4 linked regions of the Rattus norvegicus genome follow. The protein of the gene in region 1 purifies or fractionates together with the protein of each later gene. This does not show direct contact. Links are inferred from orthologs where the notes say so. Each region holds a gene or a part of one and is shown in the gene's direction. Other genes may lie near its edges.

The links.
Region 2: the proteins of Tardbp (region 1) and Ccnf purify together in Homo sapiens (affinity purification with western blotting; 3 studies listed by BioGRID, with this or other methods). This does not show direct contact. The link is inferred for Rattus norvegicus from reciprocal best matches to the Homo sapiens genes TARDBP and CCNF.
Region 3: the proteins of Tardbp (region 1) and G3bp1 purify together in Homo sapiens (affinity purification with mass spectrometry; 3 studies listed by BioGRID, with this or other methods). This does not show direct contact. The link is inferred for Rattus norvegicus from reciprocal best matches to the Homo sapiens genes TARDBP and G3BP1.
Region 4: the proteins of Tardbp (region 1) and Hnrnph1 purify together in Homo sapiens (affinity purification with western blotting; 3 studies listed by BioGRID and IntAct, with this or other methods). This does not show direct contact. The link is inferred for Rattus norvegicus from reciprocal best matches to the Homo sapiens genes TARDBP and HNRNPH1.

Annotation. Positions count from the first base shown.
Region 1 is NC_086023.1:164,342,259-164,346,883, reverse strand, and holds the start of Tardbp (TAR DNA-binding protein 43), read left to right. Parts: upstream 1-1,679; 5' UTR 1,680-1,792; intron 1,793-1,923; exon of another isoform or gene 1,924-2,436; intron 2,437-2,954; 5' UTR 2,955-2,968; coding exon 2,969-3,206; intron 3,207-4,625. UniProt on the Homo sapiens protein: RNA-binding protein that is involved in various steps of RNA biogenesis and processing.
Region 2 is NC_086028.1:13,759,619-13,763,443, reverse strand, and holds part of Ccnf (cyclin-F), read left to right. Parts: intron 1-1,199; coding exon 1,200-1,299; intron 1,300-1,380; coding exon 1,381-1,508; intron 1,509-2,858; coding exon 2,859-3,028; intron 3,029-3,626; coding exon 3,627-3,825. UniProt on the Homo sapiens protein: Substrate recognition component of a SCF (SKP1-CUL1-F-box protein) E3 ubiquitin-protein ligase complex which mediates the ubiquitination and subsequent proteasomal degradation of target proteins.
Region 3 is NC_086028.1:40,104,402-40,108,226, forward strand, and holds part of G3bp1 (ras GTPase-activating protein-binding protein 1), read left to right. Parts: intron 1-456; coding exon 457-630; intron 631-3,579; coding exon 3,580-3,670; intron 3,671-3,825. UniProt on the Homo sapiens protein: Protein involved in various processes, such as stress granule formation and innate immunity. Plays an essential role in stress granule formation.
Region 4 is NC_086028.1:35,193,028-35,197,646, forward strand, and holds the start of Hnrnph1 (heterogeneous nuclear ribonucleoprotein H), read left to right. Parts: upstream 1-1,605; 5' UTR 1,606-1,668; exon of another isoform or gene 1,669-1,751; intron 1,752-2,168; 5' UTR 2,169-2,208; coding exon 2,209-2,305; intron 2,306-3,510; coding exon 3,511-3,666; intron 3,667-3,862; coding exon 3,863-4,006; intron 4,007-4,619. UniProt on the Homo sapiens protein: This protein is a component of the heterogeneous nuclear ribonucleoprotein (hnRNP) complexes which provide the substrate for the processing events that pre-mRNAs undergo before becoming functional, translatable mRNAs in the cytoplasm.

The DNA of each region.
Region 1 (4,625 bases):
ACAAACGAAATAAAAAGGTAACCATTGTTCTAAGTTGTTAAAGTTCTTGAATTTGCCAGGCATGGTAGCACAGGCTGTAATCCCAGTACCTGGGAGGTGGAACGGGATGGTCAGAAGGTCAGGCCCAGCCTCTGCTCTATGAAACCCTGTCTTAGAAGACAAACAAAAAACCATTTGGGTGACTCACACCCGCAATCCCAGCACTGGAGGGGCAGATGCAGGACAGGCATTGCAAATTTGAGGCCAGCCTCATCTACACATTAAGTTCCAGGCCAGCCAAAGACTACTTAGAGATGCTGTTTTTAAAAAGTCCAAAACCAAAACATAAATAATACTGGGTGGAAGGACTTGTGCTTATAATCCCAGCACTCAGATGGTTGAGGCAGGACTGTTTGTCCAGGAATTCCTGGCCAGCCTGGACTATAACGGGAGTTCCAGGCCAGACATTAATACCTGTTCTCGCAATGCCATCTTCTTGCAAGGTACCGGTGAGGAGGAAATGAGTTCATTTATAAATTTAAAGTGGGAAGACTCAGCTTGGCACGATGATGATCTGTAATTCCCGCCCCGCCCCGGAAAGGAGGCAGAGACAGGAGAATCACTGCAAGCTCAAGGCCAGTCTGTTCTGTACAGCAAGACCCAGTTTCAGTAAACAAAGCAACTGTGTAAACCTTTGCGGCTAAGCTTTGAATCTGATACACCAGTTAGTTTCAATCCTGGCTAAAGAGTCTACAGCTGGGGCTTGGTGGTAGAGCTAGCCCTCAGAGTTACACAGGACTTACAGAGTTAAACTAGGACTCGTCTACTGGAACCGAAATAAGGAAACCTCCCAATATTTTCTGCTGTAGGATTCATCCTAGTGGGACCTCTTTCTCACGGATATTTCATGCAAGATACTTAATTCTGTGCCTCAGTTTCTTCCCTTGTTGAAAGAGGAGAGTATCAAGAATATCACACAGTCTGCCAGGGCAACATCAACACTCCGGAGCCTGACGATGGGGGAGGAGGAGCCGTGACGAGTTAAAGGGTTACACAGTGACTTTGAGGTCCTTGTCTCTAAAACAGCATTTGGTGGCTAAGCCCAAGGTCAATGGTAGAACACTCGTTTGCCATTCACAAGATTCTGGGTTTTTTCCCCCTAGAGCCGGAGCGTGCTAAAGGGTACTTGGCACAAAGTAGTACCTAGGACAGGGACCATTTTGTAGACCAAAGTTAATGCTTCTATGTCGGAAATTAACAAGCAAAGGCAGGAGACATCGAAGGCTAACCTTTAGACCTAAAACCCAGGGTACTCAGGGAGCCCCACTAGCCCTTCGGCATCCAGCCGGCCCCTGGCTCCGCCCCTTCCCTCCTAGCCCCGCCCATACGCTCCAGTCCCGGCCTACGCTAGTCTCGCGTATTTTCAGCGCGCGCGAGCTCTTCAACTGGGGCCGGCGGTTGGTCGGGCGAAGCCATCTTCCACGTGACGTAGGGGGAACGTAAAGCCTACGAGACCACACTGTTCTTCATTTTTCAGCATTTCGGATCTAGACCCTCTCACTCCTGTATTATTTTCCTCTGTTCTGCACGCCGAAGGGCCTGCTAGTATCCGAGCCGCGTCGAGGATAGAGCGTCTCTGGCGACTCTCGGAGAGCTCCCCTCCTGACAGGAAGCAATTGGGAGAGGCCGAAGGCGGGCGAGGGCGGGAGGCGGCCCTAGCGCCATTTTGTGGGCACGAAGCGGTAGCTCGGCTGTTGTTGGGTTCCTTTCCGTCTTCGATCCTTCGTTGTGCTTCCTAGCAGCGGCCCAGTGGGTGAGTTGCTCGCCGAGGACGGCTTGCGTGCTTCGGGCGCTGCTTTGGGGAGACCTGAGACGACCTGCACCGCTGGAAGGGAGCTATGGAGCGGGGCCTAGTTGGCCTCGCGCCACCGCGTCGTTAGGGCCTAGCGCGGGCGGCAGCCGGAGCGGGGCGCCGGGCCTGCTGGGCTGTGAAGCCGCGGGCGGAAGTCTGTCGCGGCCCCGGCGCCCCAGCAGTGCTAGTCCTTAAAGGTTCTCGCATTTGAGAATTAACCGTTTTCACTATGGGACTTGGACCCACGCGGCCCCACCCGGGGCCTAGTTGAAAGGGCGGGGGTGGGGGAGAAATCAACGTTGTCTGTCGCGCATGGCCTTCTGGGAAGTGGCGGCCTACCTCAAGGAGTATCAGTCGTTGCTCCCTTGACGCCCAAGTTTAGCCAGACCTTTCCGAAAATGAGGAATAGAACTGCGGGGTCTCTGTTCTGAACGTCGGTTTTCGTGCTCCACCGGCACGGTCAAGATTTAGCCAATTGAATGCATTGCTAATTTCTTACACTTAAAGCACGTGCTAAGCCCGATTTAGGCTCTCAGGCTTTAGAATTAATGAAATGAGTTCAGAATAGTCGAAAAATACTGTAGACTGTAATCTGTGCACTCCAGGTAAGAACAGTGTTTGCCAGTGGGGAAAAAATGGGGACAGATACTTAGTTCTTAACACCTTGTTTTTGTCTGGCTTTGTAACCAACAGGCCACATGGTAACACTGTTGCAACTTTAGCACCGGAAGCATATAGTAAGGCCTGAGAAAATGGGTGAACTGTGGCGGGGGTGGGGGGATGGGGGCAGCATCACACCACCACTGGCTTTCTCTGTGTAGTCCTGACCGCCCCGGAACTCTGTAAACCAGGCTGGCTTCGAACTCAAAAATATGTTCCTGCCTCTGCTTCAAAAGTGCTGAGGTTAAAGGTGTGGGTTACTATGCTCGGCAAAAATCACATTTTTTTGTTTTAGAAAACATTTTTTCCTCGATCACCTCACCCCCCCCCCCCCAGGGATGACGAAACATTTTTTGGTGGTGCTCTTTTCAGGAAATGGGAAAAAAATAAAGTGGTGTGATAGTAACTAAGTATAAAAAAGATAATTGCTCTGATATTCTTGATCATTTCTTTTTCCTTTAAGAGATTTAAGCAAAGATGTCTGAATATATTCGGGTAACAGAAGATGAGAATGATGAGCCCATTGAAATACCATCAGAAGACGATGGGACAGTGTTGCTGTCCACAGTTACAGCCCAGTTTCCAGGGGCGTGTGGCCTGCGCTACCGGAATCCAGTGTCTCAGTGTATGAGAGGTGTCCGACTGGTGGAAGGAATTCTGCATGCCCCAGATGCTGGCTGGGGCAATCTGGTCTATGTTGTCAACTATCCCAAAGGTTGGTTAATCACTTTGGTTTTGCCATATTACTGGCTATGGTTAGATATGTATGCCATCCTAAGTGAGGCTATAATACCTGGGCATCCATGTTTGCTGGAGAATCCCTGAGGGTTTGGCCTTCCTTGGAAGAATGTCCCCTAGGATCCTGCCCTTTTCACAAACTTTGCTTAGACTAGTCTGGCAGGTCAGCAGTCTAAATAAGTGAAAATTGAAAAGCAGGATTCTTTTTTGAGGAGCATCTATTTAAATGTTAAGCCATCAGAACATAGTCATTGCCAATTTTAGGTGGTTAAAACTAAATGCCTTAAAGATCTGTTTTGTAAAAGAATTTGGCTTAGCCAGTTTTCCTCGAGGCTTTTTTCTTTTTAAGACATATGTGAGCACAGTCTCTGTCTTCACACACCAGAAGAGGGCATGGGAGCCTATTACAGATGGTTTGAGCCACCATGTGGTTGCTAGGAATTAAACTCAAGACCTCTAAAAGAGCAGTCAATGTTAACAGCTGAGCTATCCCTCCAGTTCCTCTCCCCCCCCCCCCCCCCCGACCCAGGGGGACCAAACCCAGGGCCTTGTGCTTCCTAGGCAAGCGCTCTATCACTGAGCTAAATCCCCAACCCCTCTTTTTTGGTTTCTTAAAACAGGATTTCTCCATGGTTAAACTTGATAGCTAAGGTTGACCTTGAACTCAGATCTGCCAAGTGCTGGGTTTAAAGATGTCACCACTGCCTGGCTTTTTCTTGCAGCTGTCTCATCTTTGTCTCATCATTTTAAGATTTATGTTTATTAACATTGTGTTGTATGTGCACCTTGGCACTCTGTACCTGATACAGAATGACATCCGACCTTCTGAAGCTAAAGCTGTATGGTTGTGAGCTACTGTGTGGGTGCTGACATCCAAACCCTGATCCTCAGAAGAGCAACAGCACCAGTGTTCTTTTTTTTTTTTTTTTTCTTTTCTTTTTTTCCCGGAGCGGGGGACCGAACCGAACCCAGGGCCTTGCGGTTACTAGGCAAGCGCTCTACCACTGAGCTAAATCCCCAACCCCAGCATCAGTGTTCTTAATCTCTTTTTTTCCCTCCTCAAAAAATATCAGTTGCACTAGCCCAAATTTTGAGTTCCTACAGAACTAAAGATTTTCTCTGTTTCTTACTACTGATATTCTTGAAAGTATGAGAAAACTGGGTCTGGTGGTGTACATCTTTGATTCCAGCATTCAAGGGGGCAGAGAGACAAGTGGATCTCAGAAATTGAGGACAGCCAGGACTACAAAAGAGACCCTGTGTTGGGGTTGGGATATGAATGCATGTGAGTTAGTAAATGGTTATTTTTACTATGGTGGTACTGTAACAGTCCTTCCTGTACCTGTAATCCCAACATTTGGGGCTAAAACAAGGATTGTGGATTTGAGGCCAGGCT
Region 2 (3,825 bases), on another chromosome or scaffold:
TTTTTTCCTGTGGTGCCCAGACCATGGCTGAGGAAGGAAGCAGGGTGACTGTAAAGGCCTTCCACCTTTACTTGTACTGATTGTGACCTGCTGCTGACCATAAGAAGTTTATGCGTGTGTGTGTGTGTGTGTGTGTGTGTGTGTGTGTGTGTGTGTGAAAGATTTTGGTGAGGTGTGAGTGTGTGTGAGAATGTTTGTGTGTGAGTGTGTATGTGAGAAGAGAGATGTGGTGTGTGTGTGTATGGTGTGTGTGTGTGTGTGTGTGTGTGTGTGTGTGTGTGTGTGTGTGTGTGTTTTCTGGTGCTAGGGATAGATCTCAGGCCTTTATGTAAGCTAAGTATATACTCGCCCCACTCTAGTTGTTTTAAGTTTTCAGTGGTGGTGCACGCCTTTAAACCCAGCAGGCAGATCCCTCTGAGTTTGAGGATAGCCAGGGCTACACAGAGAAATCCTGTCTCGAAAAACCAAAGGAATAAAATAGTTGATCATTTAAATTCTTCTAGTGTATTCAGAATTGTGCAATCAATTTTAGAACATTCTTGCCACCCCCCAAAGGAAACCCCCATTTTTTTTTAAAGATTTATTTATTTATTATATATGAGTACACTGCCGCTGTCTTCAGACACACCAGAAGAGGGCATTGGATCCCATTACAGATGGTTGTGAGCCACCATGTGGTTGCTGGGATTTGAACTCAGGACCTCTGTCTGGAAGGGCAGTCAGGGCTCTTAACCACTGAGCCACCTCTCCATCCCTGGAAACTCCATTCTTTAGCTGTCGCTTGGCAATCTTCCAACTCCTTTGGCCCCAGCATCCATTCATTGCTTGACATCTGTGGCTTTGCCCATTCGGGACATCACCGAATGAGGCAGGCAGGCAGTGTCCCGCTGTGTGAGTCTGCCGTCCCATCTCAGGGTCGTATTTCTACGTGTGTCAGTGCTTGAGTAAAGCTCACTGTTTGAATGGACCTTTGTACGTCTGACCATTGGCGGATACGTGAGACACCTCCACCTCTGACTGCTCCGAGGTGGGATCAACGCTCTTGTGCGTGTTCTCTGGTTGTTCGTGTCTCTGTCTCTCGGGAAGCTAACCCACTGAGGAGCTGCCCGTCTTCCTGTGTGTCCTTAGTAGTGGGGTCGGTTTTGAAAGCTTGCTGTCCTCTCTGCGGGTCACATGTCAGCGTCTCTGTCCCTTTCCAGTTTCCATGATGATGCACCCAAAGACTACAGACAAGTCTCTCTGACGGCCGTGAAGCAGCGGTTTGAGGATAAGTGCTATGAGGAGATCAGCCAGGAAGAGGTACGGCCTCTCTCTGTCACTTAGGCTCCTGGTGGGGGTGCCCGGGTCGCTGTGTGGTTCTTCACTCTGGCCTCCCTACAGGTACTGAGCTATGCCGAACTGTGCAGTGCATTAGGGGTGAAACAGGAGAGCCCAGAGCCCCCGTCTTTCCCTAGCTCCGGGGAGATCCACACCTTCCTCAGCTCACCCTCTGGGAGGAGAAGCAAACGGTGAGTCTGCCCTGTCCGTCTGCAACTGTGCCACTCTCTCTCTCAAGGATGTCAGGGCTGAGTTTCCTTCTTGACACAGTAACCATGTGTACAGACTTCCTAAGGCAGCTTGTTCAGCGGCTCCCAGGTTTAACCCAGGGGCTTTGGCCTTGGCCTGTCCCTGAACATCGATGCTTCCCGCCCCGCCCCACCCCCGAGCCTGTCTGTCTCCTGCTCAGGTCTCTCCCCACCTACGCCGTTATTCACCTGGCCTCTCTGCCCCAGGATATGGCACAGATGGTAGTTGGGTTGACCTAAGTAATGTCTTTGATAGCTGCCCGCCTGGTCTCTGCCCTTGGCCCTGTATAGCATGGTCTGTCCTTCCTCTCACAGACCAGCGCTCTGACCACACCTCCCAGCATAGCAACCTCACCCACTCACTGAACTATGGGTCCTGCAACGCTCAGGCTCCCCCTGGGCTAGCCCTGCCTCGTGTGCCTCAGTGCCCTGTGTGCTCCTGAGCAAACCTGGGCACTGAGTGGCTGGGTGGTACCGGGCATATGAGCCATGAGTGTTCTGTGGTGGGTGGGTCCTTGGCTTCAGGCACTGGGGTCTCGAGGAGATGTGAGGAGGCAGCAGTGTGGGGTTCACCCCCTTTCATACCTGCTACAAGAGAAACAGCACAGCATCTTCCTCTCTGTAGAGTGGGGAGATCTGGGTCCTTCCAAGGGGGCCACAGCTTACATCATGCTATGTATTTGGTCCTCTTGACTTTTGGGGACAGGGTTACCCTTGGGGACATCCCGGACAGACACGTATACTCACTAGCGGTGTATCACATCACTGATCCTCTAAAGGGCCTAATTTCAGTGTTAGACCTGCTCTCTAGAAGGTCCTTCATAGTGACCTCCAAGGTAACATGGGACAGCCACATTCCCTCCCAGAGACAGCAGCAGAAGGCCTGGTGAGTGTGGTAGGCTCTCCCAGAGGCAGACTGCACTGTAGTTCTCCAGCCGTGACCCCAGGTAGACAGGTTTGATGACCTTCCCCAAAGACAGACTGTGCAGTCAGACACCCACACTGTCCCTATCTGGTGCGTCTAGAACCCTGAAGGGTGGTGGAGTCTTTCTGCCAGTTACAAGAAGGGCCCGGGGCCCAAAGCTGGCCTAGACCGAGGCCTGGCCTCACCCACTTCTTCTTCCAGTTGATCCCTTGCCCTTGAGGGCTCCCATCTGCTCTAGCTTCATGGGTATTTTGTCGAACACAAGATGAGAGCCAGGGGCATATAGGCGGTAAGGCACATGTAGAGAGCACCACATCGGCTCTGTGCCATCTGTGACCAGGGTTTCATGGACTCTCCCTACCTTGCAGGAAGCGAGAGAACAGCCTTCAGGAGGACAGGGGAAGCTTTGTTACCACACCCACCGCAGAACTATCGAACCAGGAGGAGACATTGCTAGGCAGCCTTCTGGACTGGAGCCTGGACTGCTGCTCTGGCTATGAGGGAGACCAGGAGAGCGAAGGAGAGAAGGAGGGGGATGGTGAGTGCTGCTGGGGAAGGGATGGGACATACAGGTGACATGTGACCCCAGGGCCACCTGGCACTACAACCAGGAGAAATGTGTGAACCCGACACACTGTTTTCCCCACCCAACAGGGAGAGAGGATGTCTAACCTGTATCCATCTCTGTCTGGGTCTTTGTCAGTTGAAGGGCCTCACTTAGGCAGACCCTGTCTGGAGTTGTGCATAGAACACTTAGTTTCCCGTGTGTGTGTGTGTGTGTGTGTGTGTGTGTGTGTGTGTGTGTGTGTGTGTGTGTAAACTGCTTCCCTATGTTCTGGCCAGGAAGACTTGACTTCTGAAAGTTTCACTTGTAATTTCCAATTGCTTGCTTTTGTGTCCGCTCAGATAAAGTGAGTTGGGTGACATCACTTTCTGGTGCCCCATGAGTTATCAAGGAAGGGGAGAGGACCATTCCCAGCTTGAGAGAGTCAAGCTCACAGACAGGGTTCTTACCTAAGCAAAACCCTGGGCCACCCAGTCCTGAGCAGCTATAGGGTCACTAGTTCTATACTATATAATAGTATTACTAGTCTAATACTATATAATGCTATAAAGGTACCCCAAATTTTTCACAGTTACAGCTCCCAGTGGACTCCTTGACGTCACTGTGGTCTACCTGAACCCAGAAGAACACTGCTGCCAGGAGTCCAGTGATGAGGAGGTGTGGCCAGAGGACAAGAGCCACCCAACACCAGGCACCCAGGCACCTCCAGCCTCAGCTCCCTGGCCCCTTCCCTGCAACAGGGGAGATCCGGGCAAGGATGTCACGACCTC
Region 3 (3,825 bases), on another chromosome or scaffold:
CTGAGATAAATGCCGGGCAGAAGCAACTTAGGCAGGAAGAAGGAGTACTCAGGCTCACAGTTTGAGGTACGATCCAAGCGGGAAAGGCATGGTAGCAGGAACATAAGGTGACCGCTGGTGCTCAGTTCCCCTTCTATGTACAGCACAGGGCTCTTCCTGTAGAATGTTGCTGTCCCAGATGATTGTTTCCTAGGTGATTCTTGGTCCTGTCAAACTGAGTGGAGATGAGCTGCTGTGAATATAGCAGGTCTCTGCCCTCCCGTGCACTTGTTTTATAGCTCTTCAGATTGCTTTGAGATTGCTCAAGGACTGCTCGCAGGAGCAGGAGGTAGGGCTGAGTACAAATCTGTGAGAAAACATGGCGGAGCTGGAGGATCCAGCTTGGTGCTGGCAGCTGCTGGTTTAGTTTCTGCACAGTGAGTTCCCCAGGGATTGACTCTTGCCTCTGTTCCTCAGGAAATCCACAGGAAAGTGATGTCACAAAACTTCACCAACTGCCACACCAAGATCCGCCACGTGGATGCTCACGCAACTCTGAATGACGGGGTGGTGGTCCAAGTGATGGGGCTGCTGTCCAACAACAACCAGGCTCTGCGGAGGTTCATGCAGACCTTTGTCCTTGCGCCTGAGGTATGTCGCATGATGGCTGTTGGCTCTGTACTGATGGAGTATGCAAAGACTAACAGCTGTGTGAATTCTAGATTCCTGGCAGCTCAGGGTTATAGGTGTGGCTTTGTCCTCTTGTCCTAGAGCTGTGGTGTCCTTACTGGTCCAGGAAGATTACTGTTGGAAAGTATCTTCCATCTAAACAGTTCAAATGAAACTTTGTATCCCTTCATCTGGCATCCTAAGGACAAGGAATTCATTCTCTCTCTCTCTCTCTCTCTCTCTCTCTCTCTCTCTCTCTCTCTCTCTCGGAATTTTGCTTCATAATCATTCTGTTGTTACCTCATTCAGAAAATACTGCCCAACATAACTCACTCAGTAACCATATCTGAGTTTCAGAAGGTACGCCAGCCTTGTTTTCCACAGTAGTTTGTTTTTCTTTCTTTCTTTTTTTCTTTCTTTTTTTTTTTTTTTTCTTTTCAGAGCTGGAGACTGAACCCAGGGCTTTGTGCTTGCTAGGCAAGGGCTCTACCACTGAGCTAAATCCCCAACCGTAGTTTGTTTTTCTTGATCCGAGAGTCTGTATATAACTGCCCATATAACGATCTGTTGTGTTCGTCTGGTTGTGTCTTGTTCCCTGTCATTTGTAGTCCCTTCCTCCTTTGGTTTGCTTGGCATTGACAGTTCTGAAGAGCAGTCACATACACGTTCTTCCACTCATCCGTAGTGACCATGACCCTTTTGTGTGTCTCTGGTTCCCTTAGGTTATATGCTCAGGTCTTGCCATTGTGACTAACCTTTGGACCCTGTATAAATGTGCTGCTCTTTATCAGTTTTGCATACTGTCATTCTTTTTTGTTTGAGGTTCTTGGCTGAATGGTGACAGGTGGGAATGTCTGTTATCATCCACCACCCTGTATTCATTCATTGGCTTTGTCTTATAAGGATTCCATCATTCTAGTATATTTAGTGAGTTATGATTCATTAGTAACTGTTTAGCATATATCCCTCATGTCCTGGGGCTAGTCAGTTGGAAACCCTCCATGCTATTCTGTTTTGGTGTGGGCATGGCATGGTGTATGTCCTTGTGCTGACCCTGTCCCTGTTCAAGCCCCATTTGGGAATTAGCTGTTTGTTCCATTCGCGATGCTTCTCTGTAGTAAGGTTTCTGAAGGTACCACAGGGAGATGATGAGGATGACATCTGCTGTGCCTTCTTCAGAAAGAAGGGACAGGAAGCTGATAGGTACAGAATCAGCTCATAAGGAATTAATTTTTAAAAATCCTATTTAGGATTGTAAAATTACTATCATTATCTTTAAAAAAAATTTTGGATTTTTTTTTTCCTTCGGAGCTGGGGACCAAACCCAGGGCCTTGCGCTTGCTAGTAGGCAAGCGCTTTACCACTGAACCAAATCCCCAACCCCTAGGATGTTTTTGTTTTGAGATAGAACCTCATTATGTAGCTCAGACTGTCCTAGAAATCACAGTGACCTCCTTTGTCAGCCTCATAAGTGCTAGAATTTCAGATATTCTAGCACCACCATTGAGGGTGTAGGCAGGATTTAGAGTAAAATTCCAGCTTTAAAATAAATGAATGAATGAATAAATGAATGAATGAATATTTTTGTTTTTGTGTGTATGGGTTTTTTGTCTGCATGCATGTAGTGCCTCCAGAGTCCACAAGAGGATAGTGGATTCCCTGGAACTGGAGATACAGATGGCAGTGAGCCACCATGTGGGTGTCAGGAATTGGGTCTCGGTCCCGGCAAGAGCAGCCAGTGCTCTAAACCACCGAGCCATCTCTCCAGCCCGGTAACTCCACCTTTTGAGAAGCTGAGTCAGGAGGTTTGCAAGCTTTAGGCCAGCCCACAGTAAACCAAGAGCTATCTTGAAGGAGGAAGAGGAAGGAAGAAGAAAGACTTGATCACAAGAAGGAGGAGGTGGGAAGGAAGAAGAGAAAAAAGGAGAGGAGGAGGGAGGAAGAGGAGGAGGACAATGACTACTTGTTAACTTCTCCATATACGAGATTTTACAGCCTATATTATTAATTATAGACTCAGTGTCCCTCTGTCTTTCAAGGGAAGCGTTTATCTCCCTTAAGGAAATGTATTATTGTATAAACTACAGTACACAATACGTCAGTACACAAAGCACTATGGTATGTTTTGATATTCCACTTTTTGTGAATGAAGGGACAGCTTTAGAAATTTTGAACAGCTAATCAGTAAGATGATTGGATTCGGGCTTGTGTGTCTAAATCACAGGAGAGATCTGGGTTACACCACCGTGCACATTTGGATTGATACGGTTAGATTAAGAGTCAGGGCATTTTAAATTCCTGCTAGAGTTGAAACTACTGTGCCTCTGAGTGGTTGAAAATGTTCCGTCTTTTGTATCTTATAAAAGACTTTTCCTTCTTTCCTTCCTTCCTTCCTTCCTTCCTTCCTTCCCTCCTCTTCCTCCCCCTTCTCCTCTCTCTCTCTCTCTCTCTCTCTCTCTCTCTCTCTCTCTCTGTGGGTGACCATCTGGTGGTAAGGATGGGATATTTTAACAATGTCTATGAGGTTCTTTATAATTGCATACAATCGATTTCAAACAGTAGGGCATTCAGTCTTGGCGAAGACATTGGCTGTCTTGAATGCGGTTGGCACTTAGCAATCTGATTAGTAGAGGCCAATCCCTGCCGTGAAACAAGTATTTCTAGACTTGGCTAGATGTCTGCTGGGGCCAAACCCTCCCATAGCTGAGAACCACTGGTACAGTCATGTTTGTTTTTTAAAGGAAGGGTTTGCTTTGACTCACTTTTTTTTTTTTTTTTTTTTTTTTGAGGGTACAGTCCTTCATAGCAGACAGTGGGGGGATATGAGGAGGCTGGCCACATTAATTCCATCAGAAACAGGAAGCAGATAAATACTCATGGTTCAGTGTTTTATAAGTGTGAATAACTGAAAACTTGTTGCTGACATTGCAGGGCTCTGTTGCCAACAAATTCTATGTTCACAATGACATCTTCAGATACCAAGATGAGGTCTTCGGTGGCTTTGTCACAGAGCCTCAAGAGGGTAAGTGTGAAGCTGTTGTCATGGTTACTTGTGTGGCATAAGAGAAGGTTCTTGTTACACTGTATTTTATGAATCACCAGTGTAAGGGGGTTTACAGGGATTTTATTGCTGGGAAGAAACACCACTACCAAGGCAAATCTTAAAAAGCAAACATT
Region 4 (4,619 bases), on another chromosome or scaffold:
ATTAACTAGTGAAGAGTACATTTTTGGTAATCTATTTCATGTCTCAAGACCATGTAGGGGGTAATGTACATGCTAAGCAAGCATTCTACCACTAAGATTTCTCTCATCTTTCTTGAGACAGGCTTTCACTAAGCTTCCCTGGCCGCCTCGAACACACTCTGTTGCCCCGGCAGGTCTTGAAGTTGTAGTTCTCCTGGGCTGGGGTTGTAGTCTTGCTTTTCACCCACCTACTGGCCTGGAGACTTGGGAGTCTCACTTTTGATGAGCTAAGCTAGTGTTTTCCGTCTCCTCTAGATAGCTCCTTTGCAGGTGAGGTCATGCCCCACTATTCTCCCAGCCTGTTTCATCGGAGTTTCCCTTACACCTGAAGGTTCATGTTACACAGCTCCTGTTGCTCTCTTGCTGAAAGCTTCTGTCTACTTAACACCCTTGCGCAGACTTAAAAGGTCCAAGTTCTGCATGCTGTCTCTGCACCTTTCCTTTGATGACCACCACCCCCTTAAAAAAAACTATCCAAAGTGGATTTAGCCTCCTCAATATTGTACTTGAAAGAAAAACGTAATTTTGACCGCGACCTCTTGTGATGGCATTCAGAGGCATACCAACTGTGGTACCCACTGTGGCACCACCAAAACAATAACACTATTGTTAATTTCTACCAGGTCTGGCAGGGGTGGGTCAGTCAAATCCGGAGAGACTCCGAACATCATCCGTATTCTGCTGTGTTGCTGGAATTCTAACTTTTTACCCATTTATCTCTGTAAGTGCACACGAGATGACCCGGAGGTGTCTCCACCTGGGAGAGGTACATCGGTCGGGCGCCGCGCTCTGGGGTTGCGTCCTCCGCGCACCTGGTAGTCTCAGCCTTCACTCGCGAGGCGCAGCACACAGAGCGCTTCTCGTGCGAGGGCCCGCGGCCTTGGGAAGGCGAGGGGTTCGCAGACTGCGAGTTCGTTAGGCAAAGTGGGATACAGGACTAGCTCGGGCACTGACAGCCCATGTGGGTCGGGGACTGATCCCCTAAAGCGGGCAGGTAAGGGGACTGGTCCTAGGCACCCCACGGTGATCTGGGATTTGGGCGCAGGGGCGGGGCGGTACGGAGAGGAGGCTCGGCATAAACCGGCCTTCCAGCTCCTACGCGTTCTAGGGAGAAAGGGCATGGCTTCCTTTTCCTCCTGCTGTCTTTCAAAACTGACAGGAACGCGGAAGAAAAGCTGCGGATTAAGGGTAGAACAACCGCCCCTGTAAACCTGAACTCTGGATTATTACCCAGTCCCTGCTGGGAGCTGATTATCGCCATTCCCCTCCCCCACTCTGGCGGGTAGGTCTAGAGAACGGTTTGAAGGCAGACGCATGCGCTTTAAGTAAAACGATAAACCGCTGAGACGCCAAGCGCAATAATTGCAAAAGGGCGCAGGCGCAGGAAGAAAAAAACCCCTCGGTCAGTTTATGAAGGGGCCGGAGCCCAAACGCATGCGTGTAATAATGGGCTAGCGGGAGAGAGCGCAGGTTTTCTTAATACGCATGCGTTTAATCTTTGTGTGACGCGAGTGGGGCGGGGCCGGCCACGGGGTGCGCGTGCGCAGAGTTTGCTCGGAGGGCTTTATTTAGGCTGCGCAGGCGCTCTCCTATCATTTTTCCTCAGCCACGCCGAGGCTTTGTGTGGAGGTGAGTGGTGTTCTGTCTTCGTTTGCTACCAGAGCCCTCCACGGACGCCTATTTTGGTGACGATTGCTTGTCGCTGAACTTAGGTTAAAACCTGGGGGGCCGTGGCAAGCACAGGCTACCCCTGGAAACCGCGAGTGTCTCGCCGGCGTGGCAGCGCCGCCTAGGCCTGCAGGCCGCGCCGCTTCTATTGTGTGAGATGTCTGAGGAGGCGGAGCGGAAGCGGCGGCCGCCATTTCCTTGTCTCCACCATGGCTGTAGGCCAGGGTTTTCTTAGCCTAGACCCTCCTCAGCACTGAGCGCACAGAGTGGTGTTGGGGATCGGGTCGCTAGCCGAGGCCGGGTTGCATGCTTGAGTCTCCGGGGTCAAGGCAGCGTACCGGGCGGGGCTCCCGTAGCGGCGCCCGGTCGAACCCCGCAGGGCGCCTTGAAGTGGGAGGGCCATTTAAATGACTGTTTCTTAGACGTGTTCCTAACAACCCCACCCCCCTCCCACCCCGCAGCCCTGCAGTCTGTTTCGACGCCAGGACCAGCGAAGAGACGATGATGCTGGGAGCAGAAGGCGGAGAGGGCTTCGTGGTGAAGGTCCGGGGCTTGCCCTGGTCCTGCTCCGCGGATGAAGTGCAGCGGTTTTTTTCTGGTGAGTTGAGGCGGGAGTTGTCAGTGGGGGCCCGCGGCTGGGCCGGGCGGGGCGGGGCGGGGCGGGGCGGACCTCTGGGCGCCCCCTAGCGAGTCGCAGGCACCAGCGGTTCCCGGGCTCGCGCTCTGCCAGCCGCTGTTACGCAATGGTAATTGCGAAATGCCCCCTCCTCCCGCCCCCCTCCCCTTCTCCCATTGGGATGCTGGTGGCCCTGCAGAATCTTTTCGGTCTCTAAGCACCAATCTGTGCATTTTGGAATTGTCTCTGAAAGAATTCAGTAGGGAAAGATATGATTTCTTTCCTGGTCTTGAAAAACAAATGGAGCAGTACAGACAAGTGATAGTAATTTCCCCTTTGAAGCGCTACTGCACTTCCTTACATATATTCACTTGAAAAGAGGCATTCTGCTTTGGAAAAGTTCATTTTTCCTGATTAGGATTTGGTCCTTGAATTCATGCTCTAGGTCTAGTTAATTAAAAAACTGGATCCCTTTACAACTGAGAACCCTGAAACCCAAGAAAGTTTTGTCACTGTAGAATCTTACTTATTTTTACACTATGTGTAGGCTTTCTGAATAATTTCTATCAGAATCTTATTCCCACTGTTGTAAGAGAAGAGAGGTGTATTTCAAAAACATTGACAAGTTTCGTAAAAAGGTACCTGTAGTGTTGACCTTACTGTCTGAATTTAGCTGTGGTAACAGAAAACGACCTGTAAAACAAGACTCAAGTATACTGGAAGCAATGGCAGGGGGCAGTTGCCATCGGGTTTGACTTGAGCTGTGCAGTTTGGAGCCTTTAGTTGTTTACATTGATGCCCTTTCAGGTGAGTATTGAGCTGGAGTTTGGATTTGAGTGAGCAGTTATGTGGCTGCTGATAGAGGAGAGCTGACATGGTACCCCACCCAGAAAATGCTGTGAGGTCACCAGGCCCAGATGAGGTTATTCTGAGACATTGTGCAGAGATGGTTAGTGGATACTTAGAGGCAAGGCAGTAGCTTCATTTGAACTGTTTTTGAGTATTAAGGTACCTTGATGGATTAGGAATATATCCTATATACCAGGTAATTTGATGGTGAGTGATCAGTTTAGTCTTTAGGAGTGGGTTTTTTTTTTTTTTTTTTTAATGATGACAGGAATATGCATCTCATCTGTATCACCCAGAGGTGGTTTTAAATTCTGTATTAAGCATTGTTTTCTTTTCAGACTGCAAAATTCAAAATGGGGCTCAAGGTATTCGTTTCATCTACACCAGAGAAGGCAGACCGAGTGGCGAGGCTTTTGTTGAACTTGAATCAGAAGATGAAGTCAAATTGGCCTTGAAAAAAGACAGAGAAACTATGGGACACAGATATGTTGAAGGTTTGATTTACATTGCCCTAGTAACAGTAAATGTTTAAACACATAGAGGTCTTACCCCTTCTGAATTTTAGGTATTTGACCGCATGGAAATGGTCATCTAAGGGAGTTTATGGCAGCTCTTCCTAGTTATCTAAAACCCAGGAAATCTGGACTTTGTTCTCTAACTTAATTGACTAATTCTAAGCACCTCTTTCAGTATTCAAGTCAAACAACGTTGAAATGGATTGGGTGTTGAAGCATACTGGTCCCAATAGTCCTGACACGGCCAATGATGGCTTTGTACGGCTTAGAGGACTCCCTTTTGGATGTAGCAAGGAAGAAATTGTTCAGTTCTTCTCAGGTATGTAGTCCTGTTTGTTGCTGAGCAGTGAGGTATGGCAGCTTCTGGCGACATGATTTAGTATTAGACTTTAAAGTTGAGTAGTCTAGGTACTGAAAGTAGGTTGCTGAATATATGTTGTAAAATTCACATTTTCTTCCTGGAGACCTTCAAATAACTTAAGCCCATCTTAAAAGGTGGAAATTAGAAGTATTTCCAAAGTGTTAACTTTGCCTATATTTAGTATTGTAGTTCAGAGTAGACCTTTGAGGATTCTACTCAGCCATCTTAACTACTTCCTCATATTGCTGTTTAGCAAAGTACTGCAAGTTAAAGGTAAGCTCTTTTTAACATTAGATTAGTGTTGAGTGTAGAGTGTTAGTTTATTATGGTGTTTGTTGTAAGAACTTATTTTTGGTCATGGGACCAGACATATTTTAGATAGTGTAATTTTCTGAATGAAAATTGTTATGAAAGGAACTTGGTTTAGCTAGTTTATTAGAGGTTAAAGTCAATTGTCGCAAGTGTAGGCTGTATGCTTGTAGTCTTTATGAAAACAGTATAGAAAGTTTTTGAAGTTGTTCTGGGCCTAAAGTATTTGAATGTTTTTATGTTGAAGAGCTGATAGGATTGC